Macaca fascicularis: one gene and its partners. The protein of the gene in region 5 interacts with the protein of the main gene of each other region in a pairwise test. Links are inferred from orthologs where the notes say so. Each region holds a gene or a part of one and is shown on either strand. Other genes may lie near its edges.

Region 1 (3,577 bases), on a different chromosome or scaffold from region 5:
CCTCGCTACGCTTGAAGTACCTGCCCCAAAGCACACACAACAGAGGGGATATGAGGACAACGGTTAGCCAGGTACTTGTAGTGGAGCTCCATGTTCATAACATCATTGCAGGAGTCACTGACAGTGCACTGGAATCTGGCGGCAGCAGCCAGACCACAGCGTATGCTGAGCCAGAAGTGACGGTCAACTAGTGCTAAGTGCGAGAAGGCTTCTAGGGCCCACAGAGGAATGCATTTCACATCCCACCCAATATGCACAGGTGTATTCTATCAAATATACATATCCGAATAAAAACTTTGCAAAACAGCTGTTACCCTTACCACCTGAGAGGCACTCTGATAGTATGCAATGCTACCTATTTTGTTGCATTGAAAAAGTAAACATTGACGACAACTCATGAAAAACTGATTTCATAATGCACTCCCGGGGTGCAGCTGGCAGTCTGCAGGAACCCCGGTCAGGAAGCCCTTTTCTAGGAAACTCTTGGCAGCAGAGATGATGGCGCCTGCACCATAATTCTTCTCCCAGCAAGAAGAGGCGTCCTAGGAGGTCCTTGAAGGGGCTGAACCCCAGCTCAGGGACAAAGCCACTTGCTCACCTCAGAGTAGGCATCAGCCACCTCTGCCACTTTGTGCCTGAACGTGACTCGGAGGCCATGGCATCCCCAGAGTGCGGGACCGCAGACAGACCCCAGCTCTCCTCATTCTCCCCTCAGCCTGCACCCTCCAGCGCTGAAGAACACCAACAGGGCAGCACCCAAAATGCCAACAATAGTTGGCTGCTGTCTTTCACTCTCGTTCTCTCCTCTCATATAATTCTGGAGAGAGTCAGAATGCATTTCCATTGGTGTTTCTCAGGAAATGTCACTAAAATTCCAGTATTTTCATAGAGCATTTTCCTTTGTTTTCAAAGGGGGCCTTGTCGGTGACCATGGTCCCAATTATTCACCGCATACTGCCAGAGTCATCTGCAGAGATTCAATTTCACTACTGGGTCTTATGATAAGTAAGTATCTTTCCAACAACTCAGAAGTTTAACCACATTTCTTCCTCCTGAGCAGCCAATCTATTATGAATTCTGTAAACATGGTCTCACCATCTCCCTGTCACCCCCAAAGCGGCTGGCTCTTGGCAAATGTGGCTCCCAAACCCTGTCCTGCTCGATGAGAGGGGCTACCCCAGCCTTTCTTCCCAGCCTACCCTCTCCCAATTTCTGAATCATGCCTTTAAAAAAAAAAAAAAAATGTTTGCTGGAAAAACTGCCCTTCCCAGCAGCTAAGGCTGCAAATATATTTTCATAATGCATGCAAATGTTCTCCCACAAGCAAATGGCACTCTGGCAGAGCCTTTCATTTGCTGGTCTAGAAGCTGCAAGCAGTTCATGCTCAATGTATATTTTATGCTCAGGTAAATCCTCTGGAAACATAACGGTCCATTTACAATAGCTACATTCCCAGTGAGAGACCTCAGCTTGTGAGAACCATGTGTGGCTGTAAAGTTTTGATGTGGCATTGAAAGAAAACATTATGAATTTTATTTTAGAGCCCAGAAGACTAAGCTAGGTTGGCTCTCAGCAGATACTGCAGCTGCTGGAAAGAAAGCGAAGGTGCCGTTCAGAGAGCGTGAGTGTGTGCCCTCTGCCAGCTGTCCTGGTGAAGGGGGAGTGGTGCCCCCCATGCAGAGATAGGGCTGCGGGGAGCCCAGGGCTGGGACGGTCCCAGCAGGCAGCATGCGTGGCAGGGCGGGTGTGGTAGGGTCTGGTGGGAGCTGGCACAGAAGCAAGGCAGGACCCACATGGCTCGGCTGACCAGGTCTTACTGTTTTCTCGCTATTACCAAAAAATTTGAGAAAAAAAATAAATGGCACATTGAGTGGCCGTGTGCACCCTTTGCTTCTTCTGAGACTTAGGTTTTTGTTTCTTTTAAGTTGACGTGTTCAACTTCAGTTGTAATCAAAATACAAAAAAGCATAAAGGGAAGCAAAGCGTGTTTACCTGGCAAACTGGAAAGATTTTCTACATTTGCTTCTTTATTTCCTGGGTGGTTGTGTTACAGGCCGATGTCCAGTGTCCACACTGCAGGGTAAGGGGGCCCTGGCTACGTGGAGGATCACAGTCAACAAAGGCCTTAAAAACATGCAGACCCACCAAGAGCCATTCTGCTCCTTAGACAGTTTTAAGGAAAAGAATCATGGCTAAGCACAAAAACATAAAGTAAGTAACTGTTTATAACAACAGCAACAACATAATGGAAACAATCTGAACAACCCATAAAGACATCCAATACGTTACACGCTGTGTATAGAAATCTATACAAGGGTAGGCAAGCATTAGAAACGTTACCATGGAAAAATAGCTAATGATATGAGAAGTGTTTACTCTATGTTGTTTTATAAAGAGGTATACTGTACAAAAATATACATTTAAATTCACAAAAATGTTAAAACAATAGTTCTCTCTGTAGACAGTAAACTGCTGAACAGAGTCTTATGCCTTCGTGGGATCCCTAGTATCTAGCACAATGCCCAGCACAGAGCAGGTACTCAATAAACATTTATTAAAAGAATGAATGAATGAATGAATGAATGAATGAATGAATGAATAAGAGAATTAGTTTCTCCACATTGTCAGGCAGGATATTTCTACTTTCTTCTTTGTGCTTTTCTTTATTTTCCCAGTTTTTCTCTATCAGTGATGCATTTACTCTAGTAACTAAAAAACATACTAAAAGAAACTAAATACTTTTAAATGAATCAGAAACATCCTCTTAATTCTGTGCCTCTCTTGTTAACAAGAATGACCTCCCCACGGGGCATCCGCCCACACTTTAGAGGTGGGAACAAACAGAAAAGTGGTAGAGGGCACAAGCTCCGGACCCCCGGTACCTACCGATGATGTAGGAGAGGATTAAGTTCCAGCCGGTGATGAAGGCCCAGAGTTCTCCAACGGTGACATAGCTGTAGAGGTAAGCTGAGCCCGTCTTGGGGACCCGAGCACCAAACTCGCCGTAGCACAGGCCAGCCAGCACCGAGGCCAGCGCAGCAATCAGGAAGGAGATGACAATGGCAGGGCCTGCATTCTCACGGGCCACAGCTCCAGCCAGGACATAGACGCCAGCACCCAGTGTGCTGCCCACCCCGAGGGCCACCAGGTCAAAAGTGTTCAAGCAGCGAGACAGCCGCGTCTCCTCCCGGCTACAGTCCACCACCTTCCGCCGTAGCATCTGCTGGCCAATGTTGAGCAGGACTTTGCACCCCATGTTGCTGTTCAGAGCTGTCGAAAAAGAACAAAGATGTTTCCTGATTGCTCCTCATTTCATTCCATCACTCTCATCTTATCACATTATTGAAACAGACAGTGATCAGGTCCTTCATAATCATTTCCTGCTAAAAGGCTTTAATTCGTAGAATTCCATTGATTGTCAGAAGCACACAGCCTTCTCCAGTTTCACCAGCACATACAGAATTATCCCAGCAGGCCAACAGATACAGCTGACTTCATTTTGAGGTCTCTGAGCTTCCACATTGGTATCAGGTCCTCTTAATGGAGACTCTTCCATGGGTGGAAATTGTGTAGTAGA
Region 2 (4,079 bases), on a different chromosome or scaffold from region 5:
CGCCACCTCGCCCGGCTAGTTTTTTTTTGTATTTTTTAGTAGAGACGGGGTTTCACTGTGTTAGCCAGGATGGTCTCGATCTCCTGACCTCGTGATCCGCCCGTCTCGGCCTCCCAAAGTGCTGGGATTACAGGCTTGAGCCACCGCGCCCGGCCAATTTTTGTATTTTTAATAGAGATGGGGTTTCACCATGTTGGCCAGGCTGGTCTCAAACTCTTGACTTCAGGTGATTCTCCCACCTCAGCCTCTCAAAGTGACTCTTGCTCCTGCCTGCCTCCGTGAGGCTGTAGACGCCCCTTCTCCTTCGCTGGGCTCCCTACAGCCCCACATTGGCCCAGCTTGGCACAGATACGATTTCTATAGGCATCTTTCCTGGCTCCCCTACCCTCTGCCTCCTCTTCCCTTTCCCTGAGCCCCCTTCCCTCTGCCTGTGCCCTCTCTGCAGCCTCCACATCTCTCCCCACCTCCTGCCACCATACCTGGCCTGAGCGTGAGCCACCATACCTGGCCTGTTTTTTAACAAAGAATTCCAGTAAAGAGCTGATCGTGGCTCTAACTCCTGGAATACCAGAAACACCATCTCATATCACATAATGAGACAGGGAGACATTCTGGTCCTCATCTCACAGATGAAAAATGTCAAGGTTCAAAGGATAAAAGTGCCCACCTAGTCACACGGGCACTCAGCCACAGGTCAGCCTGCCTTATTTATTCTTCATGAGCATTTATAGTGACTAACATTTACTGAGCGCCTACTATGGGCCATTTCTGTGCATGCAACAACCCCTTTTAAGTCCTTGTTTCTAATCAAGAAGCAAGGAAATGGGGTCAGGGAAGGGACAAGGTTTCCCCAAGTCCAGGCAGGGGCAGAGGTCAAGCTCAGAACCATCACCTGCCCACAGCACATGCCCAGGACTCAGGTTCCCTAGGCTTCCTTCCAAAGGCTCAGCAGTGACGAGCCAGCCCTTGAACCAGCCTCTTCCCCCACCCAAGCAGCCACCTCTCAGGGGAATTGTGGCCACCACAGGTGCAGGGAGCAGTTCCTCTCCACTCACAGCCTGAAGCCTACCCGGCAGGGGCTGTCCCCAGGCCCAACAAGTAAAGGGCCCAGCAGCGAGGGCCACTGGAGCCCATCTCCGGGGGGCTGGGCAGGAAGTAGGGTGGGGTTTGGGGTAGGGATCTGGTACCCGGGGACTGCTGCAACTCAAACTAACCAACCCACTAGGAGAAGATGCCTGGGGGTCCAGGAGTCCTCCAAGCTCTGCCTGCCACCATCTTCCTCTTCTTCCTGCTGTCTGCTGCCTACCTGGGTATGTGGCCAAAGGGCAGGAACTGGTGGGAGGTGGGGGAAGATGTGGAGGCTGCAGAGTGGGCACAGGCAGAGGGAAGGGGGCTCAGGGAAAGGGGAAGAGGAGGCAGAGGGTAGGGGAGCCAGGGAAGATGCCTATAGAAATCGTATCTGTGCCAAGCTGGGCCAATGTGGGGCTGGAGGGAGCCCAGTGAAGAAGGGGCGTCCACAGCCTCACGGAGGCAGGCAGGAGCAAGAGTCACCTCCCCCACCTCCTGCTCCCCACAGGCCAAAATAAGGAACTAAAGTTGCTCTTGACTGAGCACGAGGGCTGGGGACAGGAAGGGGACTTGAGGGTAGTAGCATTCAGCGTCTGTCAAGGGGAGAAAAAGCTTTATCTGCCTTAAACCTCAGGTGCCTCTCTGTGTTGGGAGTCCCTTCTGAGCACTGGGGGAACAGATGTCTCATAGATTCCTCCTCACCCGCTCAAGGACAGCTGGCAGGGGCTGTGGCCACGCTAACCCAGGAGTTCAGAGAAGAAGGTTCCCCACCCAAGCGGACACTGGGAGCAAGGATTGGAGCTCACGTCTGAGTCTTAAGCCCATGATGATAAGGGTGCTCGGCCCCTCTCCCCACCTCTTCCTCCTTCTCTCTTCCTCACTTCCCTCCTCCGCCTACCTCCAGAAGAGGGGGCCGGCCATGCGGGAGGCCTGGCTGAGAGCTGGGACTTCCCAGAGGAGCCCAGATTGGACACTGCAGCCAGCCTGAGCAGCCCGGTCTCACTCAGAGACACCCCCAGTCTCCACCCCACTCTGACCCCCTTCGCTCACCAGCAATCCAGCCCGAGGACTGAACTCACCCCTGACCCCTAGGTTGACACATACAACTTACAGAGAATGAGGGCCAGGCACAGGGTCACAGGCCAGGGCAGGCCACAGACTGGCTCCTCAGCCCAGGCAGGGAGAGGCCAGGGAGCCATGAGTTTGAACCCAGTGCCACTCCTGACTGCCTGGTGATGCTGGCAAACCGCCAGCCCTCCCAGGGCCTCAGCCATCCCTCCTGTAAAATGGGGCTAAGGAGATAACCTACTTCTAGGGTTCTGTGAATGATTACACAAGAAAAAGCGCCAGGTGCAGGGCCTGGCTGAGGCTGGGGTGCAAAAATAGACCGGGAAGGCTGCGGGAGGAGGGGATGCCTGCACTGCTTCTGGAAGGAGCTGTCTGGACAGCGGTCCTCCAGTGCCTTGAACAAACATCCAAAATCCAGAGAGTTCACAGGGCCCAGAGCACAAAGTGGGTATGTGGGAGGGGGGCAAGAGATGGTGCTGCAGAGGTGAGAAGGGCCTCCCAGGGGTCTCACCATCCCAAGGAGTCTCATTCTCCTCCTCCAGGATGTCCTCACCCACCCCAACCAGTTCTGTCCTCTCTCCCTCCCCAGGGGCCTCTTCACTTTCCCGCATCCCCCTCTCCCCAGGATGCATCAGCCCCTGTCAGGGGCTGTCCCTCTCCCCCCCCACCCAGGAGAGTTCTCACCCTCCTCCCCTCCCCACCCAGAATAGTCCTCACCCTCCTCCCCCCCCACCCAGGAGAGTCCTCACCCTCCTCCCCCCCCACCCAGGAGAGTCCTCACCCTCCTCCCCTCCCCACCCAGAATAGTCCTCACCCTCCTCCCCCCCCACCCAGGAGAGTCCTCACCCTCTTCCCCTCCCACCCAGGAGAGTACTCACCCTCCTCCCCCCCACCCAGGAGAGTCCTCACCCTCCTCCCCCCCACCCAGGAGAGTCCTCACCCTCCTCCCCTCCCCACCCAGAATAGTCCTCACCCTCCTCCCCCCCCACCCAGGAGAGTCCTCACCCTCTTCCCCTCCCACCCAGGAGAGTACTCACCCTCCTCCCCCCCACCCAGGAGAGTCCTCACCCTCCTCCCCCCCCACCCAGGAGAGTCCTCACCCTCCTCCCCCCCCACCCAGGAGAGTCCTCACCCTTCTCCCCCCCCACCCAGGCATGTCCTCACCCTCCTCCCCTCCTCACCCAGGCATGTCCTCACCCTCTTCCCAGGAGTGCTGGAGCTGCAGGGGCCAGGGCTGGGGGCATGTGTCGCCATCCCTAGTCCCTGACCCACCCACCCTGCCTCTCCACAGGTCCTGGGTGCCAGGCCCTGTGGGTAGATGGGGGCCCAACATCATTGATGGTGAGCCTGGGGGAAGAGGCCCACTTCCAATGCCTGCACAATGGCAGCAACGCCAACGTCACCTGGTGGCGCGTCCTCCATGGCAACTACACGTGGCCCCCTCAGTTCGTGGGCAAGGGCCAGGGCTACAATGGTACGCTGACCATCCAGAACGTGAACAAGAGCCACGGGGGCATATACCTGTGCCGGGTCCAGGAGGGCAATAAGCCACACCAGCAGTCCTGCGGCACCTACCTCCGTGTGCGCCGTGAGTGGCCCAGCCCTGGTCCCTACTCCCACTTTCCCACTGGGGACACTCGGTTTCTCTTTGAAGTGGGGATAGAGCCAGTACTTTCATTGTGGGTTTCAAACTGGCTTGGACAGAGGGACTGAAGTTCTCCTCTGCAGAGTCGGGGCTCTGAGGGGTCTGGGGCCTTGCAGGGGGTGGCGGGTCCAGGAGGCTAGGGAGAACAGGAGGTGCCAGGGCTCTGAGCCACACCACCCCCTTGCAGATCCGCCCCCCAGGCCCTTCCTGGACATGGGGGAGGGCACCAAGAACCGAATCATCACAGCCGAGGGCATCATCCTCCTGTTCTGCGCGGTGGTGCCTGGGACGCTGCTGC
Region 3 (4,340 bases), on a different chromosome or scaffold from region 5:
CCCCAACAGCAAATTACTGATTTCTGTATTTCTCATCTACTTCTACATATCAAATACCTGTCCCCCAACACACACACACACACACACACACACACACACACACACACACGAACTCCAAACCTTTTTGGCAAATCTTTGTAGTAAACAGATGGACTATCTGTGTTGCTGGGAGACCACTCATAAATGGAATCCAGTCCAAAGGGAGTGAGAAGGAAGAGGACATATCACTACTTGAGGTAGTAGCTAAGAACTCTCCTCTCTCTCCTCCTTCTCTTCTTCTTCCTCCTCTTCCTCTTCCTTTTTCCCCTTCTTCTTCTTTTCTTTTTCTGATTTAAAAAAAATCAATTCTGACTTCACTACCTGCTCGCTGGGCAACCTTGGGCAGGCCACTTTCCTTCCATGGGCCTCAATTTCCTCATCTCTAAAATGGGAATAATAGTATTATTAACTTATGGGGGTTTGTAAATATTTAATGAAGTAATGTTTGTAAAGCCCTTAGCACAGTTTTCAGCTCATAGAAAGAACTCAGTTGTTCGGTTGTTGTTGTTTTTATTATAATCAGCAAGATTAGCCCACTAAGAGGAAACAACATGAACCACCTTTCACTAAGTTTCAAGAAAACAGTCTAACTTTGGAGGAGAGACCCAGAGTTAAAAGTTTGGTGGGGAAGTTCATTTGGGGGTCAGATCTCAGGCAAAAGATCTCAGCAGAAATAAAATGAGTTTGAAAGGTACCTAAATTTCATTCCCTGTTTAGCCTTTCATGAGATGTTTCACCTTGGCCAGTTCATCCTTGCTAAATCTGTTTTCCACTGGCACATGGTCCCACATTCAAGATTAATTTGTTTCCATCTCTTCTCTCTAGGCAGTTTCCTCTGTCCTGGTCCTCTGCCCTGGCATCCACAGGCCAAGATGGATCCCCTGCCCTGTGCCCATGGCCCCTGTGCTCTGCTCTGCATCACTGTCCAGACCACATTGCAAGTTTTGCTTCCCCTTCTGCTTCCCCTGGGGGAAGTGGCAATGCTTATCCTGTTTTTTTGATGTACTCCAGCACCTAAGCACTGCCTGCCCACAGGAAGGATGCTCTATAAAGGCTCGAAGGAATGAAAGAGTCAACAAATAGTTATTTTTTATTTTTAGGTATTTATCATTATTATTATTTTCCTGTTCGGAAGTCATCAGAACTCACACAGACGTCCCATGTAAGGTGTGGGTGTCTTCCTCCTACCTGGAAACCCCTTCTTCAGGTGGACAGCTGTTTTGCTGATCGTGCCAAGCCCGCTTTCCCAAACCAACAGACCTAAAGTTTCCCCGGAGCCAGAGGGCACCGGGCGCACGGCTGAGCCTGCACCAATGCCTGTGGGCCCTGCCTCGCCCACCTCCTCGCCCTCCCCTCTGGCGCGCCGCTGGCCAATGACAGCCTTCTCCTGGCTGCATGGGTTTCCCCCTCCCCTGTTGTCTCTACCCTGCCCCAGCTCTTCCCTGCCCACCCCTCGCTGACTCGCCTCGCCTCGCCTCCCCGACGCTCTGGGTTCCCGGAGCGCAGAGCCCAGCGTTAGCGAGTGGGCTTCCCGAGGCCCCCTGCCCTCGCCGGGCTGCTCCAAGGTGTCGCTCCTCTGGCTGCTCCCGAAGGGGCTTCTGGCCCTGAGGACGGTGGTGCCAAGCGAACTTCCTTTTTAAAAAGAACTGGTGGATGAGAAGAGCGAGCGAGGGCGAGCTATGGACCCTGTGAGTCAGGTGAGACAGAACTGGGCAGGGCGGCTGGCTGGGAGCGGGGCGGGGGGCGGGGGGTGCCGCGGCTTGGGAGAGGCACCCCCAGCCCCTTCCTCACGCTTTGCTTTCTCTCTCTCGCCTCGTTCCCCCAAAGCTGGCCTCTGCGGGCACCTTCCGGGTGCTGAAGGAGCCCCTTGCCTTCCTGCGAGCCCTGGAATTGGTGAGTAGCAGTGTGTGCGTACAGGGAGGGGCGCCAGGCAGCGAGCCATCAGGTGAGGAGAGGTCGCATGGGGTGCTCCCTGCTCCGTTCTGCTCCAAGCCGGAGAGTCAACCCTCAAGCCGGAGATTTCTATCCTGCCCCCTCCTAAGGTGCCGTTCCAAGGCGGTGGGGACAAGATTGAGGCACTCTGCTTGGAGGCGGGAGTGTGGACGCATTTTTGCAGGCGCTTAGACAAGTGTCGTCTCACCTCACCGCTTGCAGACGAGCAGGGACTGTGGAAAGAAACCTCCCCCTTGGGAGATGGGGGAGGGGGACGCTTGGAGGAGCTGCCGCTGGGCTCTGGCCCCTCACCTGGACCTTCGCGGGGATGAGGGGATGGGTGGAGAGACCCATAGCTGAGCGGAGGAGCCGGGAAGACTTGGCCAAGCTCAGAAAGTTGGTCAGAACTGGGACAGCTCCTCGGCGGGACTGGGATGCTGGAAGCGCGTGTTCAATTGCTCCGCGGGAGCTCCAGGAAGGGAAAGATGCTGCGAAGCTGTCACAGACTGTTATAGACGGCGGCGGGTAGAGAGCAGAACTCCTTTCTTCCCTACTATAGTTTCTTTTCTCTGGCCACTCCCTTAGGGCTTTTCTGATTACACCCAGAAGAGCCCACCAGCCTGTTTGCCATGGCTTTCTTCAGCGACTGGGCTTCAGGAAGTTGTATTCTACTTCTGTGAAACCACCCTGACGCTCCTATTGCAATTTGTGTATGGGCAGAGGAGTGAGGCACAGCAACGGTTACCCACAGGGCCACAGAGCCATGTCAGTGTTGTTGGCTGGATGATGCTTATTCAGAGTGAAATCTGCAGGTCACACGTTTCGTCTTGCTAGGAGCTCCAAAAGGCAAGCAAACCTATCTGAATAGAAAGTTCAAAGCCTGTCATGTAGCATTAATCACAGGCCCTAACACTGACTAGCTGGGAAATTATGTAAGAGCCTGTTCTGTGTTCCCAGATCTTAGCTCTAAGGGCTTGTATCTGGCAGTGGCTACATAACTGTGATGATTGTTTACAAGGATGATCTACAAGATAATTACATTTACCTTGTTTGTAGACTTGAATGAAAATGCATGCGTATATCAATTTTACATACACAAAGACAGCTTTTGGAAGGCTTGAATTAGTGGTTCAGAGCTGGCTATTCTCAAACTGTTTGCCTTACAGTCAAGTTAGATGAGCAAGCAATCCTCACAGTTCTGGAAACTTTCAGTTTGCTTTCTCAGAATTCTGCCCACATTCATTCATTCAGTCATTCAATAAATATTTCCTGTGAAGTAGTGGCTTTTAGGGAAGAAAATAATAGCTTCATTGTCAAGTTATTATCTCTCAAAACCCAGTTCAAAGACCTGACATCATTTTCTGACATAATCTCTTATTGTCTCACACTCTCACTTATCTGAGATACTAGTTTGTGTTCACTCCAATACTGTGGCAACATGATTTTGTGCCATTGCTCCTCACACAGTCTCTACTGGCATATAAAAAGGTGTTTGTTACCTGGATGAACTTGTTCAAATTACAGATTTCTGGACACCAAATCAAAATATTGGGAAGATGGGTGCCCATGAATCTGCATTTTAAATGAGCTCCGTGTATAACTCTTATCCACATTATAATTGGCGAACCACCACTCTAAGCTATACCAGATCCCTCCAAAACTTAAAAGCCTCTTTTACCTCAGTGCCCTGGCTATTTCTATTCACACTGTATGGAATGTCCTCACCTTCCAAGCCTAAAAAAATGTTTGTCTTTTACCTCAACTAAATGTTACCTCCTCAGTGAAGCCTTTTCTCCTCTTTCCTCTATCCCAAACTGAATGATTCACCTCATTCTTTGAACTTCCACTAGATTTTTATTCATTCATAAGAATTTATCACACTGCGAAATACTGTTTTATAGTTCCCCCCTCCTGAGGAGGTGTGTGTGTCTGTGCAGGAGATGTGTATGAGAGAGAAAGAGTGAAATAGAATAAAGGTTTCTAAGGTACTACATTTAAATTATTTGCAGTCCTTCCCCTCTATCTTCTAGGATACTAAGGCTCCAAGGAGGAAGTGCTTTTTGCTTGTACCTCAGTAATTAGACTCTCATTTGTGGAAGAGAACATGAATAATGGACAAAGCAAATTTTAAAAGTCAGATAAGTTAGTTGGTTGAGCTACGTTTTAAAAGAGCTGAGCCAGAGACATGAGGAGAGAGAGAGTACTAGTTGCTGAAAAAGCTAGTAGTGAACAGAGAGAAAGAACATACATTCTGTGTGCACAGAATGGCTTGAGGAGTCACTCTGAGGTATCTTTTTCTGTGGGAGATATTGACAATGAGAGGAAATGTGATTTCTTATAGATGGCGGAACATTTCTTCTGTTTGTCTC
Region 4 (3,577 bases), on a different chromosome or scaffold from region 5:
CCAGGATGGTCTTGATCTCCTGACTTCGTGATCCGCCTGTCTCGGCCTCCCAAAGTGCTGGGATTACAGGCTTGAGCCACCGCGCCCGGCCGGATTTTCCTTTTCTTTCCCCTCAGAGATGGGGTTTCACCATATTGCCCAGGCTGGTCTCGAATTCCTGAGCTCAGGCAATATGCCCATCTTGGCTTCCCAAAATGCTGGGATAATAGGCGTGAGTCACCGCATCCGGCCATTTGTATTTCTGAAAATTGAGTTCTCTAATATACTTCAATAAAAAATCTATGTTTCATTTATTAGAAATTTGTTAACCTCATATCAGGCACTGTGCTAGGCACTTGTTATTTCAAATTAAATAAGACATGGCTATGTCAAGGAGCCAGGAAAAACTGATACCTGTATACTTACATACATCCCTGTCTAGCTTTTTCCTCATGATAAATAGAAGACAAAAAATTGATAGAAGATAAAAACTGATTAAATTTTAAAATATCTAGACCTGAATTCAACTTCTTTGTGTGAAAAAGAAGGCCAAAGTCATCTCTTTGGTTGAGACTGTAATTAAAGGGATCTTTTAATGTATATATTATGCAGCCCGGATGTTCCCTTTCTTTTTCATGATGCCTCTGTAATTAAGATGCAGATTTCCCCCCAAAGGAGAGTGTTTTTTCTGTGGTCTTAACTCAGATTCATAGATCTCAGCAAATCTATGGATTCGTGGCTTTGTGGGTCCTTAAACCTTCCACAATTATATGCAAAATTGTGGAATTTGGTATACATGAGTGCTTTTCATATTTATTTTTAATCCAGAATGGATCAAAAAGAACAATCATGAAGGATGTAGGTGCCAGACACAGGGCAGAGGTAGCTAGAAAAGTAGATCTTAGGGAAGTTAGGGCCCCTAGCCTCACTAATCTACAAACATGGCATGGCCAGCTTGCCTTGCAAGGCCTCTGTTGAAGGACCCCATGAATTCTTAAAATAGAGTTCTTAATTTTTATCAAATTCTCAAATGATTCTGTTACCCCAAAATATTAAGAATTAGTGTACTATTAAAAAATTTATTAGAGACTAGTCCAAGCAACATAGTGAGACGTCATCACTACTAAAAATTTAAAAAAAAAAAATTAGGGGTGTGGGGCTGGACACAGTGGCTCACACCTGTAATCCGAGCACTTTGGGAGGCCAAGGCGGGTGGATCACCTAAGGTCAGGAGTTCAAGACCAGCCTGGCCAACATGGTGAACCCCTGTCTCTACTAGAAATACAAAAATTAGCTGGGCGTGGTGGCACATGCCTGTAATCCCAGCTACTCAGGAGACTGAGGCAGAATTGCTTGATCCTGGGAGGTGGAGGTTGCAGTGAGCCAAGATCATCCCACTGTACTCTGGCCTTGGCAACAGAGTGAGACTCCATCTAAAAAAAAAAACAAACAATTGTTAGAAACCAGCCCAGGCAACACAGTGTTTCTCCTAAAAACAAAAATTAAAAATTTGGGGCATGGGGCATGGTGGCACACACCTGTAGTCCCAGCTACTCAGGAGGCTGAGGTGAGAGGATCCCATGAGCATAGAAGTTTAAGGCTGTAGTGGGCTACGATTGAGCCACCGCACTCCAGCCTGTTTGATAGAGCAAGACCCCATCTCAAAAAATGAAAACAACAAAAACTTACTAGGTTTTGGTTTATGACTATTTAACATCATTTACTTTTTAGATGTTCTCACTGGAGGAAAGGGAAATTGAAGGTATAATATGTACTTCTTTAATTTATCAATACAATTTTTATATTAACACAATATTTGAAACTGACATTTAAACATTAGAATTTATTTTTTACTTTTAACAATGTTGTGAGCATGCTACATTTTTTGTTTGTCTTTAGTACCAGGACCCTCTGGTGATAATGGCATCAGTGTTACTATGATCTTAGTGGCCTGGATGGTTATTGCATTGATCTTGTTCTTACTGAGACCTCCGAATCTAAGAGGATCCAACCTACCTGGAAAGCCAACCAGTCCTCATAATGTAAGTATTGCACATTTTAAATGCTTTTTGGGTAAGGGAATGTATGTGACCTGGGGCAGGGAAGGACTTGGTTTTGACTAAAATACCTATATTAGTTAAATTACATTTAACTCATAGAGTATTCTACCTATGTAGTTCTATTAAATCTTGCAATTCCAAGATTTAATTGATGGCTTAATCTTTGTGGAGTTAAATGCAGAAAGAAGCACAGACCAGAAGCCGAAAATTAATTTGAAAATGAATTCCAATTTTTTTGTTGTTGTTGTTCAGACAGGGTCTTGCTCAGCTGCCCAGGCTGGAGTGCATTGGTGCGATCTTAGCTCACTGTAGCCTCTACCTCCCAGGCTCAGGTGATCCTCCCACCTCACCCTTCTGAGTAGCTGGGACCACAGGCATGCACTAGCACACTTGGCTAGTTTTTTGTATTTTTTTTTTGTAGAGATGGGGTTTTGCCAGGTTGCCCAGGCTTGAATTCCAATCTTTACTCGCATGAGAAGCATTATGAAATAATCCATTTCATAATCCACAGCAATATTGCTTAAATCTCAATCCTCCACTACTCAGTTCTGTCCACCTCACAGTTGATCCCTTGCCTCTCATGCTTCTAGCCTCTAAACTCTTAGTAGCTTCAGCTCAAATGTTTGACCCCCTTCTGTCCTAGCTATTCAGTAGAGACACTGAGCCTGTCTGATTTTATTTTCCTCATTTTCCCATCCTATTTCTCTCAAACCCATTTTCCATTTCTGTACCACAACAAATCAACTGAGCTGGCAAAAGGAGAGGTCAGAATCATTCATGTTGATAAATCTTGATAGTCATGATTACAACCATTTTTAGAACCTTCTAAATTAAAACTGTGATAAAGTGACCCAACAGGGAGTTTTCAGTACTATCTTTAATAGAAACTCTGTTGGCCAGGCGCAGTGGCTCACACCTGCAATCCCAGCACTTTGGGAGGCCAAGGCGGGCAGATCGCCTGATCTCAGGTGTTCAAGACCACCCTGGGCAACATGGTAAAACCCCGTCTCTACTAAAATACAAAAAATTAACCGGACATGGTACCCTGGGCAACATGGTGAAACCCCGTCTCTACTAAAATACAAAAAATTAGCCGGACATGGTGGTGTGCGCCTATAGTCCCAGCTACTCAGGAAGCTGAGGCTTGAGAATCGTTTGAGCTCAGGAGGCAGAGGTTGCAGTGAGCCAAGATCACACCACCACACTCCAGCTTGGGCTACAGAGTGAGATTGTGTCTCAAAAAAAAAAAAAGAACCTCTGTTAAAGGATTCCTTTTAATCCTTTTCAGAACCAGTATTTATGTGTGTGTTTTTTTTAACATTGAATTTGAATATTATCTCTTTAAAAATATTTCCATGAGGCTGGGCACGGTGGCTCACGCCTGTAAGCCCAGCACTTTGGGAGGCCGAGATGGGCAGATCACCTGAGTTTAGGAGTTCGAGACTATCCTGGCCAACATGGTGAAACCCTGTTTCTACTAAAAATACGAAAATTAGCTGGGCATGGTGGTGGGCGCCTGTAATCCCAGCTACTTGGGA
Region 5 (4,262 bases):
AAAGGCACATTAAACTCTCTGTCACCTCCAAGTTGTCTTTGGCACTCAATCCAAGCGGGGAAGGCACGCTAAGGGGGTGAGATGTTGGGGTTTCTGAGTGGCCTTGGGGGTTCAGGGGTTGGGAAGGAATTCTCCCACCCTCTTTGCTTGGCTTTAGGTGGTGGATTCTTATGCCACCAGGGGGCAGTGCCTCCACATGCACCTGGACCCTGTGCTCCTGTGCCCAAGAAGCCCCACCAGGGTCAGTTGATAACTAGACAGAAATCTGGCCTCCATAGCCTGAGGCCCTGTGGCAAGCCAGTGCCTACACTACTGTAGCTTTGCTGACTTCTGAGTGCTCCTCACAATCCAGCCACCCTGTAGGGAGGCTTGTCCATGGTGGAGACTGACACCAAAAGAAGGGAGAAACTTGCTCGAGGTAAAATCTTGAGGTCATAGTGAGATAAGATTGTCAGATAGAATACAGGATATGCAGCTAAATTTCAATGTTAGATCAACCCATGAATCCTTTTTTTAGTGTAAATATGTCCCAAAGGTTAGTGTACAAGAGAGAATACTTACACTACAAATGTAGTATAAGTACAGATGTGTTGTTTATCTGAAATTTAAATGTACTTCGTATCTGTATTTTCATTTGCTCAATCTGGCAACCTTGGCTGGGCTTCCCAGGCTCCTGAATCCCACTAAGCTGAGCACACTCAGTAGTTTCTCTGCTCCCAAGGTGGCCCTCCAGAAAGCTCAAATTTCATCGCAGCTGCTCCACTAGATCTGGGAAGGGCTTCTTTGGGGCCCCCAGGAATGCAGGCAGGGCCTATATCAGCTCTGCTTCCCAAGAGCTCGGCCCCAGCGCTGGACAGGTGAGGTGGGGGCAGGGGACAGGCAGCCTCAGACCATGCTGCCCTATCTCAGCTAGTTCTGACCCCTTCCTTTGCACTCCCTCTCCTTCCTTCCTTCCTTCCTTCCTTCCTTCCTTCCTTCCTTCCTTCCTTCCTTCCTTCCTTCCTTCCTCTTTTCCTCCTTCCTTCTTTCCTTCCTTCCTTCCTCCCTTCCTCTTTTCCTTCCTTCCTTCCTTCCTTCCTTCCTTCCTTCCTTCCTTCCTTCCTTCCTTCCTCCCTTCCTCTTTTCCTCCTTCCTTCCTCCTCTTTATCCCACCTGACCCAAGGGCTCTGGGGGAAGAAGAGGCTATTTCTAAAAGGAACGTTTTATAAACCTGTCCTGATTCCTTTCACAAATAGCCTCCTATTCCCCCAGGGGCTCTGGGGTTGTTTCCTAGAATGAAGGGTTCACCACAGGTCGTGTAGCAATCAGTGTTTTCCAGAGAAACATAACTGATAGGATGTATATATGTATGTATGTATATATGTATATATCTGCATATGCACAAGTATATATACATTTATTTTAATAAATTGACTTATGCAATTGTGGGGCTGACAAGTCTGAAATGTGCAGGGCAGCCTGGCAGGCTGGCAACTCAAAGAAGAGTTGACACTGCAGTCCTGGGGTAGAATTACCTCTACTTTGGGAAACCTCAGTCTTTGCTCTTCAGGCCTCTCAGTTGATTGTGTGAGACCAACCCACATCATCGAGGATGTGTCTCTACTTTACTTCAAGTCCACTGGTTGTAGATGCCAACCACAGCTACAAAATGCCTCCACAGCAACACCTAGACTAGTGTTTGAAGGAGTCACTGGGGACTAGAACCTGGCCAGGTGACACATAAACCTGACCATCACAGTGGTCTAATCAGTAGGGAAACTGAGGGAGAATTGGGACTTAGAAGGTGCAAGGCCTGAGGCCCCTGGGAGTTCTAGTGGCTGCAGTCAGGTCCCACCTCTCTTACCCTTCTCTCCCTTTGTTCTCATGGCTCCTGCCTAGTCTGACCTACTTCAGAAAAAGGCTACCTCCCATGTCTGGGGACTCTGGATGGGGGAGGTAGGATATGCTCTCCAGAGAATCTCTTCTGAAGGTGTGGTATGGCCTGGATTGCTAGGACCTAACTCTGCTGTAGCCACTGCCTGGCTCTTGGACCCTGTGCCAATCCCTGTTTCTTCATAGAAATGATGGAGGGTAGACCCTACCCTTCCCCCCATGGGCTAAATATGGAGATTCATGAGCCAGAGCAGTTCTCACAGTCAAAGGCATGGAATTGTATCTCTTCTCCTAAGTTGCTTACAGAGTAGCAAGGAGAAGGCCACGGACCTAGCCAACAAGATACAATAGAAACAGAAAGTGCTGAGTCCAAGGCCTCAGCCTAGAGAGGGAGTCTTGCTCCACCCCCAGGTCTGACTATATCTTCCTTGAGCTCCTGTTCCAGGAAGAGGTGATTTTCTGAGTGTGACTCCTCTGTTCCTGGCACCCTGTACATCCTTAGCCATAGCTTACAAGTGAACAGCTGGTTGTGATGGCAGGAGGCCCTCCCAACACCAAGGCAGAGATGGAAATGTCCCTGACAGAAGAATTGAATCATGGACGCCAAGGGCAAAACCAAGAGCACCTGGTGATAGCGGGTGAGGATCCCCTAAAATACCCCTAGGCTACAGCCAACTGTGTAGATACATGTCTGTACCTGTGCATGTGTGTGTTGGGAAAGGTGCATGTGTGCATGGAAGTGTTTGCACATCTGTGTGTTGGGCGGGCTTTGAGGATTTGTGGGTTGATGGTAAGGGATCTAGGAGAAAAGGGATAGATGATGTGAGCATTTTGCCCTGGGAGGGAGGAGGATGGGAACAACATGTGTGGTCCCTCTGTCTTCCCCTTGTCCAAGCCACCACAGTGTCTGTTGCAAAATACTCAGAGGGCTCAAATTATGAGACCAGAGATCAATTCTCTCTCCCAACCCTCGAATTCATTTTCCTGCCATTTGGAGGAAAATCCAGACTCCATGATCTATAAGATTGTATCAGCCTCCTCAAAACATTTCATACTATGATATAGACAGAAAATACCATTTCTATAGCACACAAAGGGATCCAGATCACATTGCATTTATGTTTGTTCTTACAATGCTCCAAGCCTGCTTCTTCCCCAAAGACCTTGCATTTGCTGTTTCCTCTGTCTGGAATGCTCTTTCCCTCAATTTCCCAGGGCTGGGTCCTTTATTTTTTTCAGGTCCCTGCCTCAATTGTTGTCTCCTACTTTTCTAGAAGGAGCCCTTTCCTTCCACTATGTTACCCTGTTTTGATCATTTATGGAGCCTGCATCTCTCTGTCTGCATTTGCAAGGATAGACCTTCTGTTTTACACCTGTCATTCACTCTTATACACAAAACAGATGGTCAGTTCCTTGATAGCTGGAATCTTGTTCTTGGTCATTGCTCTCTAGATTACTGGAGAGTAACCTAGTCTCGAGCTGAGCCCTCAGGATTCTTGTTTAACTTTTGAACAGATGAACAAACTGAGACCTGGGATCAGCTGGTGGACAGTGGTTAATGGGTGCTGAGTGATTCCCAAGAAAGCTGGGGACTCTGTCTTCTTTTTGGTGTGTTTTGTGCCCAAGAAGCCCTGGTACAACTTCTATGGGTGCTCCTGGGGTCTCTGTTCTTCTCTCTAGAAATGATGGAGCATGGATCTCGGTCCCTGGGTGCCTCCCAGAAGAGGCAGAAGTTGGAACAAAAAGCTGCTGGCTCTGCTTCAGCGAAACGAGTTTGGAATATGACTGCCACCCGATCCAAGAAAATGGTACTGCATGGGGTCCTCAGCACATGTTGGCCAGGTTGGGGTTGGGAGTACTGGTTGTAGGGGCTGTAGCCTGACCAGGTCAGGCAGGGCTAGACATTGACTTGTGAGGAGGAGGAAGCTCCTGTATTCCAAGCTGGCAAATGAGGACAGAAAGGTCAGGGTCATCCTTTCCTATGCTTGGGATGCAACCTTGGGAGTTCAGAATGCCTGAAACAAATATTGCATGGGGAGTACATAAATATTTCACTCTGTAAATCCATTGTGTGAAATAACGCTTCCTGTATTTAAAATTGTGTGTGTGGTGCGTGTGTGTGTATACACACAATAACTCAGGTGAGGCTCCTACGCTTTCTGGCTGTTAAGAAATCCAGTCAAGTCGTCTGGCATGGTGGCTCATGCCTGTAATCTGAGCACTCTGGCAGGAAGAGGTGGACGGATCACTTGAGGCCAGGAGTTGGAGAACAGTCTGGCCAGCATGGTGAAACCTTGTCTCTACTAAAAATACAAAAATTAGCTGGGCATGGTGGCACATGCCTGTAATCACAGCTACTCAGGAGGCTGAGGCATGAGAATCGCTTGAAC
Region 6 (4,173 bases), on a different chromosome or scaffold from region 5:
TTCTCCTGGCCTCTACCCACTCACCCTCAATGAAAGGCAGTTGGAATGCAAGTAAGAACTGCAGCATTTCCATCCTGGGTAAGCCACACCACCTTCATGCACATCTATATTTTGAGTACATGCTTCCATACCACCAGGTTTCCATGTCATGGCAGGAACTCCAGGGAAAACATAACATATATACAACATACTATATCTTAGAAGCAAAATTATTTGAGTAAATTCTGCTTAGAAATAAAAGGGCTCTCATTTGATGAGCTTTCAGAGCAGGCAACAAAAGTAAGCTACTGCCCTTGCTAGCAACTCAACAACGTTCACCTCAGGGAGACGATACAACAGTAAACTTCTTTTTAGTTGAGGAAGACAACACAACCTTACTCCTAAACATCTTAAAAAATAAATATTTCAAAAACATGCTAATATCTTAGACGCAGCAAAGTTTGGTCAAATGGTCTAGATCAGAAACCTCATCCAGAAATACATGTCTCTACAGTCACCCTAGCAAACACGGAGGTTTGACCATGAACCAAGGGGCTCAGCCTGCACTGACTTGGCTTTAAGCACCCTAGGGTCTCGACTATTTAGCTGAAGCCCCTCTCCCTAACGCATCTGTCCTTGGAGAAAAAATTCGATCTTCGCTACATGTTTAACTAACATTCTCTAAAGAGTGACATTTATGAGATGAACATCAGTGTACATCGTTCTAAAGATGATAGGTGCACCCATGCAAGCCACGGAACTACAGATCATTTATAAAAACAACTTAAGACTTGCATTGGTCAAGTGTGCTTAACTTTGCATTCTCTTTGTTTTGGTATTAAAACTAAATGAAAGTAATGAATAAAGAGCTGAGATTTTGTTTTCACATGACTGTGAGCAAAAATCTCATGATATCCTTGCTGACCTCATAGATGCATTTCCAGTGGACAGACTTGTGGGGGCTTTTTGTACAGAACTCACACGACAACCTCAGAAACAGGAGCACAACAACTCATAGACAGTACTGGGCCACAAGCACTAGAATAGCGTACACGATGAACAGAAAAATTAGCATTCTGGGTGTACTCATCTGGCAAAAAGGTGAACATTTTATGCCCACGATGCAAAGACCAGTGAGTGTCATTTCATGGAAAGGTGCAAAGGCATGGTGTCAGACACACCACCCTCTAAAAACGATTCTAAATACTGCAAAAGAAACCTGGGTGCATATCCCATGCATCTCTCCCCTCAGGGGCGGGGCATACTCCTTACACCATAACCATAAGGTGCCTGGCTGTGCCAGAGGCACAAGAGGCAGCTCAGCAATGTGGGGTGGAGGGTGACAAGTCCTCCCAGCTAATGTAGTGAATCATTTAAACTGAGTTCACTTGGTGAGCTCCTGCTCATGTTCGTCAGGCTTGCCATGAGGGATTTAACTTTATGGGCATAATAGTCCCTTAAATTGACTGAAGGGACCTCCTTCATTCCATCTCCAAAGTCACAGCTGCGCATGGCACTCTCAAGTTGCTTTTGGCGCCGGTAAAAGTGGGAGAACTTATTGAAGATCAAGGTGATGGGCAGGACCACCACGAGGATGCCTGCCAAGATGCAGGCAGAGGCAGTCAGCTTCCCTGCCGTGGTCCCTGGGACCACATCCCCGTACCCTACTGTGGTCATACTGACAGTAGCCCACCACCAGCAGGCGGGGATGGTGGCCAGGCCCTCGTTCTCCTCCTTTTCAATGGTGTAGGCCACCACGGAGAAGATGGAAATTCCGACGGAGAGGTAGAGCAAGAGCAGCCCTACTTCTTTGTAGCTGTATTTCAAAGTGGCCCCCAGGGAGCGGAGGCCCGTGGAGTGCCTGGCCAGCTTTAAGATGCGGAAGATCCGCATCAGCCTCAGGACCTGGGCCACCCTGCCCAAGTTGGCTAAGGTAGGTGTGCTCTCCACCACCAGGTTCACCACTAGAGTTATGTAAAAGGGGACGATGGACATGAGGTCAATAAGGTTTAGGGCATTCTTGAAGAACTTAAGGAAGTCAGGGGCCACAGCAAACCTGGCCACCAGCTCAAATGTGAACCAGGCGATGCCAAAGTGCTCCACGATTTCGAACCTAGGGTCCTCGCCAGGGTTGCCCTGGCTATCAGGGATTTGGAAGTCAGGCAGGCTATTGAGGCACATGGTGATGATGGACCCCATCACCACCAGAATGGACAGGATGCTGAAGACCCTGCTCAGCACTGAGTAGCCAGGGTTGTCCAGGGCCAGCCACAGCTGCCTGCGGAAGTTGCCAAGGGGCTGCCCATCGAACTTGGAGGCGTCGTTGTAGAAGGCAAGGATCTCATCGAAGGAAGACGTGGTGCTCTCCTGGTCACTCTGCTCGTCCCACTTCTCCTGCTCGGGCTCCACTTTGCGACCATGGTAGCTGTAGCTGCAGCAGGAGTCAATGAAGAACTCGTTGATGCCCCAGTACTCGATCTCCTGGCTGAAGGAGAATACGCACAGCTCAGCCATGACGTGAAGCTTGCCGGTGTGATAGAAATGCAGCACGTAGGGGAAGAGCTCAGGGTTGCGGTCAAAGTAGAACTCCCGCTGGACGTCGTCGTAGTCATCACAGAGCTCCAGAATGGCCTCGCGCGAGTGGCAGAGCAGCAGGCGGCCCAGGCGCGTCTCGGGAAAGCGCAGCAGCGTGTGCGAGCGCAGCCTCCTCTTGAAGCCGCCCACGTTGATGCGGATCTCCCCGTCCTCGACGTTGGCCTCCGACACGTCCCACAGGCTCTGGCCGGTCATGCTGGAGGCACCGGCCGCCCGCGCCGCGCGGGGGCGCTACACCTGGAAGCGGAGGGAACAGCATCGGCAAGAGGGCCGTGCGCCCCGGCCCATCGCCCCCTCTCCCTACCCATTTCTGGCGGGCCCAAGCCTCCTAGGTGGGTCTTGGGTGCTGAAGGGCACTGGGCTGGGGCAAGAGTTTGAGGGGTCTGGCCCCCTCCCAGGAAAGGCTGGGGGTAGGTATGTTTCTATTAGCACGGCTCCACCCCGGGGGTCTCGGTTGGCGCTTTGCGCGTGCAGCGTCGCGTCCCCGCGGCTCTGAGCGCCCAGGGGGCTGCGTGCTGACCTTGTCCATGGGCAGGCCCGGGAGACGCCCCCGCCCGCTCGCCGCAGACAGGAGGGACCAGAGCTGAAATACGCACGGGCAGAGCGGGGCCGACATGGGGGGCGCGTAGCTTTGGGAGGTTGGGGCGGATGCGCTGGAGTCTGGAAACCCGGGCCGGGGAAAGAGCGGGGCGGCCCGGCCTCCCCTGGGTCCAGCTCCCAAGCCTGCAGCCCCCGCGTCCCCGGCCCAGGTCTCACCACCCGCCTGGCGCTATGCCCCAGGGCCGCGTGCGCTGCGCCTCACCCGGCGGGGCTGCCCGGGCTCGCCCTGCGCGTTCTGGAAGCGCTTACCTGGGAACACGGGCGCCCGCGGCCGAGGCCGGCGGGAAACTTCCCCGACCCGCGGGCGAGCATCGCGGCGGTGGCCGCTGCCTGCTGGCGGTGCGTGCGCGGATGCGAGTGTGTGCGCCCGAGTGTGCGCCCGGCGGGCCGGCGGGCGGGGGCCGCCGAGCTTCTCCTCCCGTCTCGGGCCGGGCAAGCCGCCGCCGCCCGCAGCTGCGGAAGGCTCACAGGTGGCTGCGTGGTCCCGCCGCTCGCGGAGCCCCTTCTCCGGATCCGCGCGCCCGTCACCCGCCGAGAGAAGCAGGAGCCCGCGCCGCAGGCGCCCCGTGAACCCGGGCGGGAGCAGAGCGGGTGTGACCGGGCGCAGGCCCTGCGTTGGGCGCGGCGCGGTGGTGCTGAACGGACAGCTCCGCGCGCCTCGGCCGCCGCCCCGGGCTCGGAAGGCGCAGCCGCCGCCGCCGCTGCTTCTCTGCGCTTCCCCGGCGCGTCACCGCGACCACCTTGCGCCCCCGGCTCGGCGCGGGGCCGACACCCCTCCCTCCCCCCCGCCCATCCCCCGGTGACAGCTGTTATTATCACCACCCCCAGGGCGCAGGCAGGGGGCTGCCTACGGTGACCTTTCCCCGCTGGGTCTGGCGGGAGCCGGGCTGGGAAATAAAGGGCGGCTTGCGCGTGTCCGGGGACAGGGCGGGACCGGAGGAACTCCAGGTTTCCCCTTTTAGGGACCTGAAGAAAAGTTTCCCGAAGCCCGGGGGTGGG
Region 7 (4,227 bases), on a different chromosome or scaffold from region 5:
TTCCATTTCTCAGTATTTCTCAAGAGCATGCCTTCTAAATAGGATTCTCAGGAAGCCGCTATTGAATTAATAAAGGCCATTTACAGCCATTCGAAGGGAATAAGAAGTTTAGTCGGTGATGAGTTACAAATTTGGTTATCATCTCGCTTTTCCAGTGGTGATGAAAAAGCAAAAATCACTCAAATACAATGACTACTGTCTGCTTGAAACGCTCCAGGTAATTTTTGAATTATGATTCACCTTGCCCTTCCTGTTTTGATGAGCCATGAACAGGAGACTGAACCATCCCTGTCAATAAAAAGCTCGCATTTCCACCCTGCAAATTCGCGCTATAATGACAGTGTAATTGGCTGAGGCGCAGGTGGGATTTCCTGTCGCCATTTTAAGACACAACTCTTCTGCAAGGAAGTGCCCAGCCAGTAAAAGGGGGCTGTGTCTGAAACAAAGAGTAAGCGGAGAAAAAAGGGAACCAGGCCCAGTTGCCCCTGTTCCCCTCCATCGCGCTCCCTTGTCCCCAGGACTTGGAGCGCCCCAGCTCAGTTAACCTGGACGCACCAGGTCCTTCGGTCGGAACCACATGGGGTCTCCAGGCCCTCTAAGAGCTGGCCCCCGCCTCTTGCGCCTAGGCCGGTGCTTTCTCGGCGCTCAGCAAATCCTTCTGGTTGCCTCACACCCAGTCCCCAAAGCAGAGCTCCACAGGGCAGATCTCAGGAAGGGCTTGCCAGGTCTGCGGATGCTGGATCCGGAAGAAGGGAGGTGCCTCCCGCTTCAGGATAGGGACAAAGGGTTTCTAAAGGTGCCCGAGCTCCCCGCTCCCCCTGTCGCTTCGTTCCCCTTCCCGCCAACCCGGGCCATCTGCGGGCTGTACCCAGGGCCAACCCTCCGCTCCAAAGCTGCTCGTAGTCCCAGGCGCTCCCCGCTGCTCTCCGGGCTGGGCTCGGACCGGCCACTCCCGCGGCCATCCTCATGCTGCGCCCTTCCCACAATGCAACTCCCTCGCTCCTTCGGCCCCGGCGGGGCTCTGGCGTACCCAAAATGCAGGCCCCAGCGGAACGCACAGCCCTCCTGTCCTCCTCCGGTGCCCCTTTAGCCACCCCACCCCCATCTCTAAGGGCTCTCATTCTCCAGCTGCCGCCGCAGCTGGGTTCCGAACACGCCGCCGGGCCCCGGGAGGGAGAGGGGCAGGTGCCAGGGCGGTGCGCAGCATCCGCTCCCGGTGCCACCTTCAGTGCGGCGGGCACACGCGCGCCCCGCAACCCCTCCCTCACCCTTTCCCCGTTGCTCAATCTCCGCCAGCCGCGGTCGCTGCATCGTCAGAGAGCTGCAAGAGGGAGGCAGCAAGGCGCGGCCGCTAGCAGTGACACCATGTGACCGGCACGGCTCAGTGACACGCAGCTTTGGTTAAAGAGCGGGCGCACAGGAGGGGAGGAGACGGCGCGCGGGACAGGGAGGAATGTCCTGTCCCCCTTAAACCATCACAAGCCATGGTTGCGGAAGGGCCACGCGCCTCCCAGTAGGAGAATGACTCCGATTCGTGACCCTCAGCGCGGGTGCATGTGGATGTAAGTGCGAGGCCGGCGAGCAGAGTGTGAGTGGGGGTTGGTGGTGAGGGGAGATTCTGATGCAATCGGCCCGGAAAGGAGGAGGAGAGACAGGCGAGCGCGGACTGGGGCAGCCACGCCACTCCGCCTGAAGGTCGCCAGGAGCCTCCGCCCTTCACCTTCCTCGGAAATCCGCCAGGCCACGCCAAGCTCCCTGCCCAGCCCTGACTGACGGGAGCCACCTTTTCCCGGCCTCCGCAGCCAGACCTTGACACAAAGGACATCAAACTGCCGAGGGTAAAAACCCCGGAAGGGCGGACACATCCACGTCGCCTTTCGCCACCTTTCCCTTTATCTGCGGAGGTAAGGTGATTATCCGTTCCCTGGGAGGGCTGGGCAAGCGGCGAGGGGATGTTTAGATGTGGGAGGAGGCGGTAACGTAGAAATCATCTCTGCTGGCGTGAAAGCAGAGAGAGCTAGGCTGTGCCGGATGCTTTCGGATGTTGCTTTTAGGAGAGGAAAAGTCCAGGTCTCCTGTGCTTCCCGAACGCATGCGGCAGAGCGAGGAAGCGCCAGGGCCCCCGAGTTCACCTTTGCGTGGGCTGTGGCTTACTTTTTGGTTTGTTTTCCTGTGGCTTTGGTGTGTTTTCCTGTGGCTGTGGCGGAGTGTGGTACCAGATCTGGTTCCATTTTTACGAGGGCCGGGAACCACGCAGGTCTGGAGGGAGAGCGCATCTGACCCGAGGGCGCGACCCTGTTATAGGAGTGTTTGAATCCCCGACCTTTGGGGAAAATTTCCTGTGTCCCCAAGGCCCAGGGGAGATCGTGTGATGTCCTGGGGTGCTGCGTGTGGCCGGCTGGGCAGCCGTGGCGGACCACCAGTAAACCGGGGCACGTTTGCCGTCCTTCCTGGTGCTCTGCCCCTCTGTAACGCGGGGAAGTAGGAGGGCGCGAGGAGAAATTACTAAAGGATGTTTGCAAGTGACTCACTGTCCTTTCCTGCCCTGAAGAGGTTTTTCTAAAATGCAGAGGGTGGCGGGGGACAGGGATAGTGTTTTTTCGAGAGTCGGGATGTGCTGGAGCCAGCGAACAAAAGGCCACCTCTTGCGCGGTCTTGGGCGCTGACTGCTCTCGCTTCCAGTCTTACCTCCTTCCCAACCCCCGACAGCAAGCTCGCGTCCCTAAACATTGCCACAGAGGCCTTTAAATGCGTGGATCGGTGCCGGGAGGAGAGAGCACCTTCGCCCTTGTGCGAGCCCTTTGCCCCCTAAATTACCCACCTCCCGGAGCATGGGGCTCCTCAGTACCGTTGGGATCCGGTAGGTTACCCGGCTGCCTGGGCGCCGATTCCCTGCCAAATCGCCCGCCCGAGGTTTTTGCTGAACTGTAGTCAGTGAAGGCACAAGTGCATATGGCAGCAAAAGGAATTTCGCGGTAACCGCGTCACGCCGCTCCCAGTGCCTTTCACAGGCTGCCTTGGACTGGGGAAGGTGGTGCTACAATTCAGAGTCCTTTGTCTTGCTCTGCGGCGCGGACCCGAGGCTTATACAAACCCTCGTTCTCTGTTAGAAACTAACTGCCGCCAGGATTCGTTTACTTTCTCAGACGAATCCACGGTGATGTATGTAGTAACAGTGAAAAAAGACGCCTCTGCTAGAAAACGGTATTCATTTGCGTTTGGAAGGGGTTTTGACCTCTCTGCAGTGGGTTTTTACATTTTTAAATACAAGGGGGAGGAGGAAAATACATTTATGGTTTGCAGAATGCAGGGCCCAGCGAGGGTGTAATTTGTCACCTTGATAAAAGAAACTGTGCAGCAACTCGTGCTTTTTCTGACGTCAGAAGGACAACGGAAATAAAACCTGAGCTCGGTGCATGGCTGGCCTCGTTGTCAGATACCTCATGCTAGTTTGGTCCTCCCGAAATCTTGCAAAACAGCCAATTCCGGGGTACTGACCTGGTGTGGACCCCCTGGATTTTGGTTCGACCCCAGCCTCAAAATGGCTTTTCTCTTGAGAGTCACTCGAGTTCTCAGTATGTTGCCGCAAGCAATTGGAAACTGGCCTAGTTTGGTTTGAGGTCTTAATCTTGAGATTTATTCGCTTTTTTAAAAAAATGTGGCCAATAAACATTTTCTACAGAGGGTTTACTGTGCGACTGGTAGCAACTAACAAGATTTGTTTCACCTTCTATGAAGCTTCCGTTCTCAGGGGGAAACAGACTATATAAATGTAGGCATATACATTTCGGGTATTCTTAGTGCAATGAAGAAGTAAAACAGGATCATGTGATGGGGGAGGATGCTTGAAATAGAGTGACTCACCGGGAGGGCCAGTGTGAGGGTATAACATTTGTCCTCAGACCCGAATGATGAAAAGGGACCAGCTATTTCTATAATTGAGGGAAGAAGGCCAGCAGAAGGAACAGGAAGAAGGAACAGCAAGTACTTACTGCACTCTTCTTTGACTGTAATATAATTGAACAGAGAGATGAATAGATTTTAAAGGTGTTTTGGATCTTTAAACCTATATGTATGTTGTTTATGTATTTTTTTATGATGCTCCATGAATTAAGGCCGTTTAATGAAAGGAGCACCATGTTTAGGAGTCCTGACATCGGACGGTTGCTACTCTTTTCTTTACTCTGGGTGATGCTTGTGGACAAAAACCGATTTTACTCATTGTTC

Evidence for each region.
Region 1: the proteins of FATE1 (region 5) and SLC7A1 interact in binary tests that used the Homo sapiens proteins (3 or more experiments, as listed by UniProt). The two-hybrid records come from large-scale screens. The link is inferred for Macaca fascicularis from reciprocal best matches to the Homo sapiens genes FATE1 and SLC7A1.
Region 2: the proteins of FATE1 (region 5) and CD79A interact in binary tests that used the Homo sapiens proteins (3 or more experiments, as listed by UniProt). The two-hybrid records come from large-scale screens. The link is inferred for Macaca fascicularis from reciprocal best matches to the Homo sapiens genes FATE1 and CD79A.
Region 3: the proteins of FATE1 (region 5) and SYNPR interact in binary tests that used the Homo sapiens proteins (3 or more experiments, as listed by UniProt). The link is inferred for Macaca fascicularis from reciprocal best matches to the Homo sapiens genes FATE1 and SYNPR.
Region 4: the proteins of FATE1 (region 5) and SMIM14 interact in binary tests that used the Homo sapiens proteins (3 or more experiments, as listed by UniProt). The two-hybrid records come from large-scale screens. The link is inferred for Macaca fascicularis from reciprocal best matches to the Homo sapiens genes FATE1 and SMIM14.
Region 6: the proteins of FATE1 (region 5) and KCNS2 interact in binary tests that used the Homo sapiens proteins (3 or more experiments, as listed by UniProt). The two-hybrid records come from large-scale screens. The link is inferred for Macaca fascicularis from reciprocal best matches to the Homo sapiens genes FATE1 and KCNS2.
Region 7: the proteins of FATE1 (region 5) and SLC38A1 interact in binary tests that used the Homo sapiens proteins (3 or more experiments, as listed by UniProt). The two-hybrid records come from large-scale screens. The link is inferred for Macaca fascicularis from reciprocal best matches to the Homo sapiens genes FATE1 and SLC38A1.

What each region holds. Positions count from the first base shown.
Region 1 is NC_088391.1:9,369,749-9,373,325, forward strand, and holds part of SLC7A1 (high affinity cationic amino acid transporter 1), read right to left. Parts: intron 3,271-3,577; 5' UTR 3,257-3,270; coding exon 2,887-3,256; intron 21-2,886; coding exon 1-20. UniProt on the Homo sapiens protein: High-affinity, low capacity permease involved in the transport of the cationic amino acids (arginine, lysine and ornithine) in non-hepatic tissues.
Region 2 is NC_088393.1:48,916,722-48,920,800, forward strand, and holds the start of CD79A (B-cell antigen receptor complex-associated protein alpha chain), read left to right. Parts: upstream 1-1,206; 5' UTR 1,207-1,231; coding exon 1,232-1,310; intron 1,311-1,702; exon of another isoform or gene 1,703-3,427; coding exon 3,428-3,724; intron 3,725-3,968; coding exon 3,969-4,079. UniProt on the Homo sapiens protein: Required in cooperation with CD79B for initiation of the signal transduction cascade activated by binding of antigen to the B-cell antigen receptor complex (BCR) which leads to internalization of the complex, trafficking to late endosomes and antigen presentation.
Region 3 is NC_088376.1:126,378,328-126,382,667, forward strand, and holds the start of SYNPR (synaptoporin), read left to right. Parts: upstream 1-1,497; 5' UTR 1,498-1,718; coding exon 1,719-1,736; intron 1,737-1,866; coding exon 1,867-1,932; intron 1,933-4,340. UniProt on the Homo sapiens protein: Intrinsic membrane protein of small synaptic vesicles. Probable vesicular channel protein.
Region 4 is NC_088379.1:38,849,648-38,853,224, reverse strand, and holds part of SMIM14 (small integral membrane protein 14), read left to right. Parts: intron 1-1,878; coding exon 1,879-2,021; intron 2,022-3,577.
Region 5 is NC_088395.1:157,778,718-157,782,979, forward strand, and holds the start of FATE1 (fetal and adult testis-expressed transcript protein), read left to right. Parts: upstream 1-1,434; 5' UTR 1,435-2,404; coding exon 2,405-2,510; intron 2,511-3,552; coding exon 3,553-3,680; intron 3,681-4,262. UniProt on the Homo sapiens protein: Involved in the regulation of endoplasmic reticulum (ER)-mitochondria coupling. Negatively regulates the ER-mitochondria distance and Ca(2+) transfer from ER to mitochondria possibly implicating it in the regulation of apoptosis.
Region 6 is NC_088382.1:108,072,102-108,076,274, reverse strand, and holds the start of KCNS2 (delayed-rectifier potassium channel regulatory subunit KCNS2), read right to left. Parts: upstream 2,820-4,173; 5' UTR 2,812-2,819; coding exon of another isoform or gene 2,806-2,811; 5' UTR 2,770-2,805; coding exon 1,336-2,769; 3' UTR 1-1,335. Other genes in the region: uncharacterized protein, read right to left, coding at 2,806-2,811, 3,424-4,173. UniProt on the Homo sapiens protein: Potassium channel regulatory subunit that modulate the delayed rectifier voltage-gated potassium channel activity of KCNB1 and KCNB2 by altering their kinetics, expression levels, and shifting the half-inactivation potential to more polarized values.
Region 7 is NC_088385.1:52,992,519-52,996,745, reverse strand, and holds the start of SLC38A1 (sodium-coupled neutral amino acid symporter 1), read left to right. Parts: upstream 1-1,383; 5' UTR 1,384-1,904; exon of another isoform or gene 1,905-1,909; intron 1,910-4,227. UniProt on the Homo sapiens protein: Symporter that cotransports short-chain neutral amino acids and sodium ions from the extraccellular to the intracellular side of the cell membrane. The transport is elctrogenic, pH dependent and driven by the Na(+) electrochemical gradient.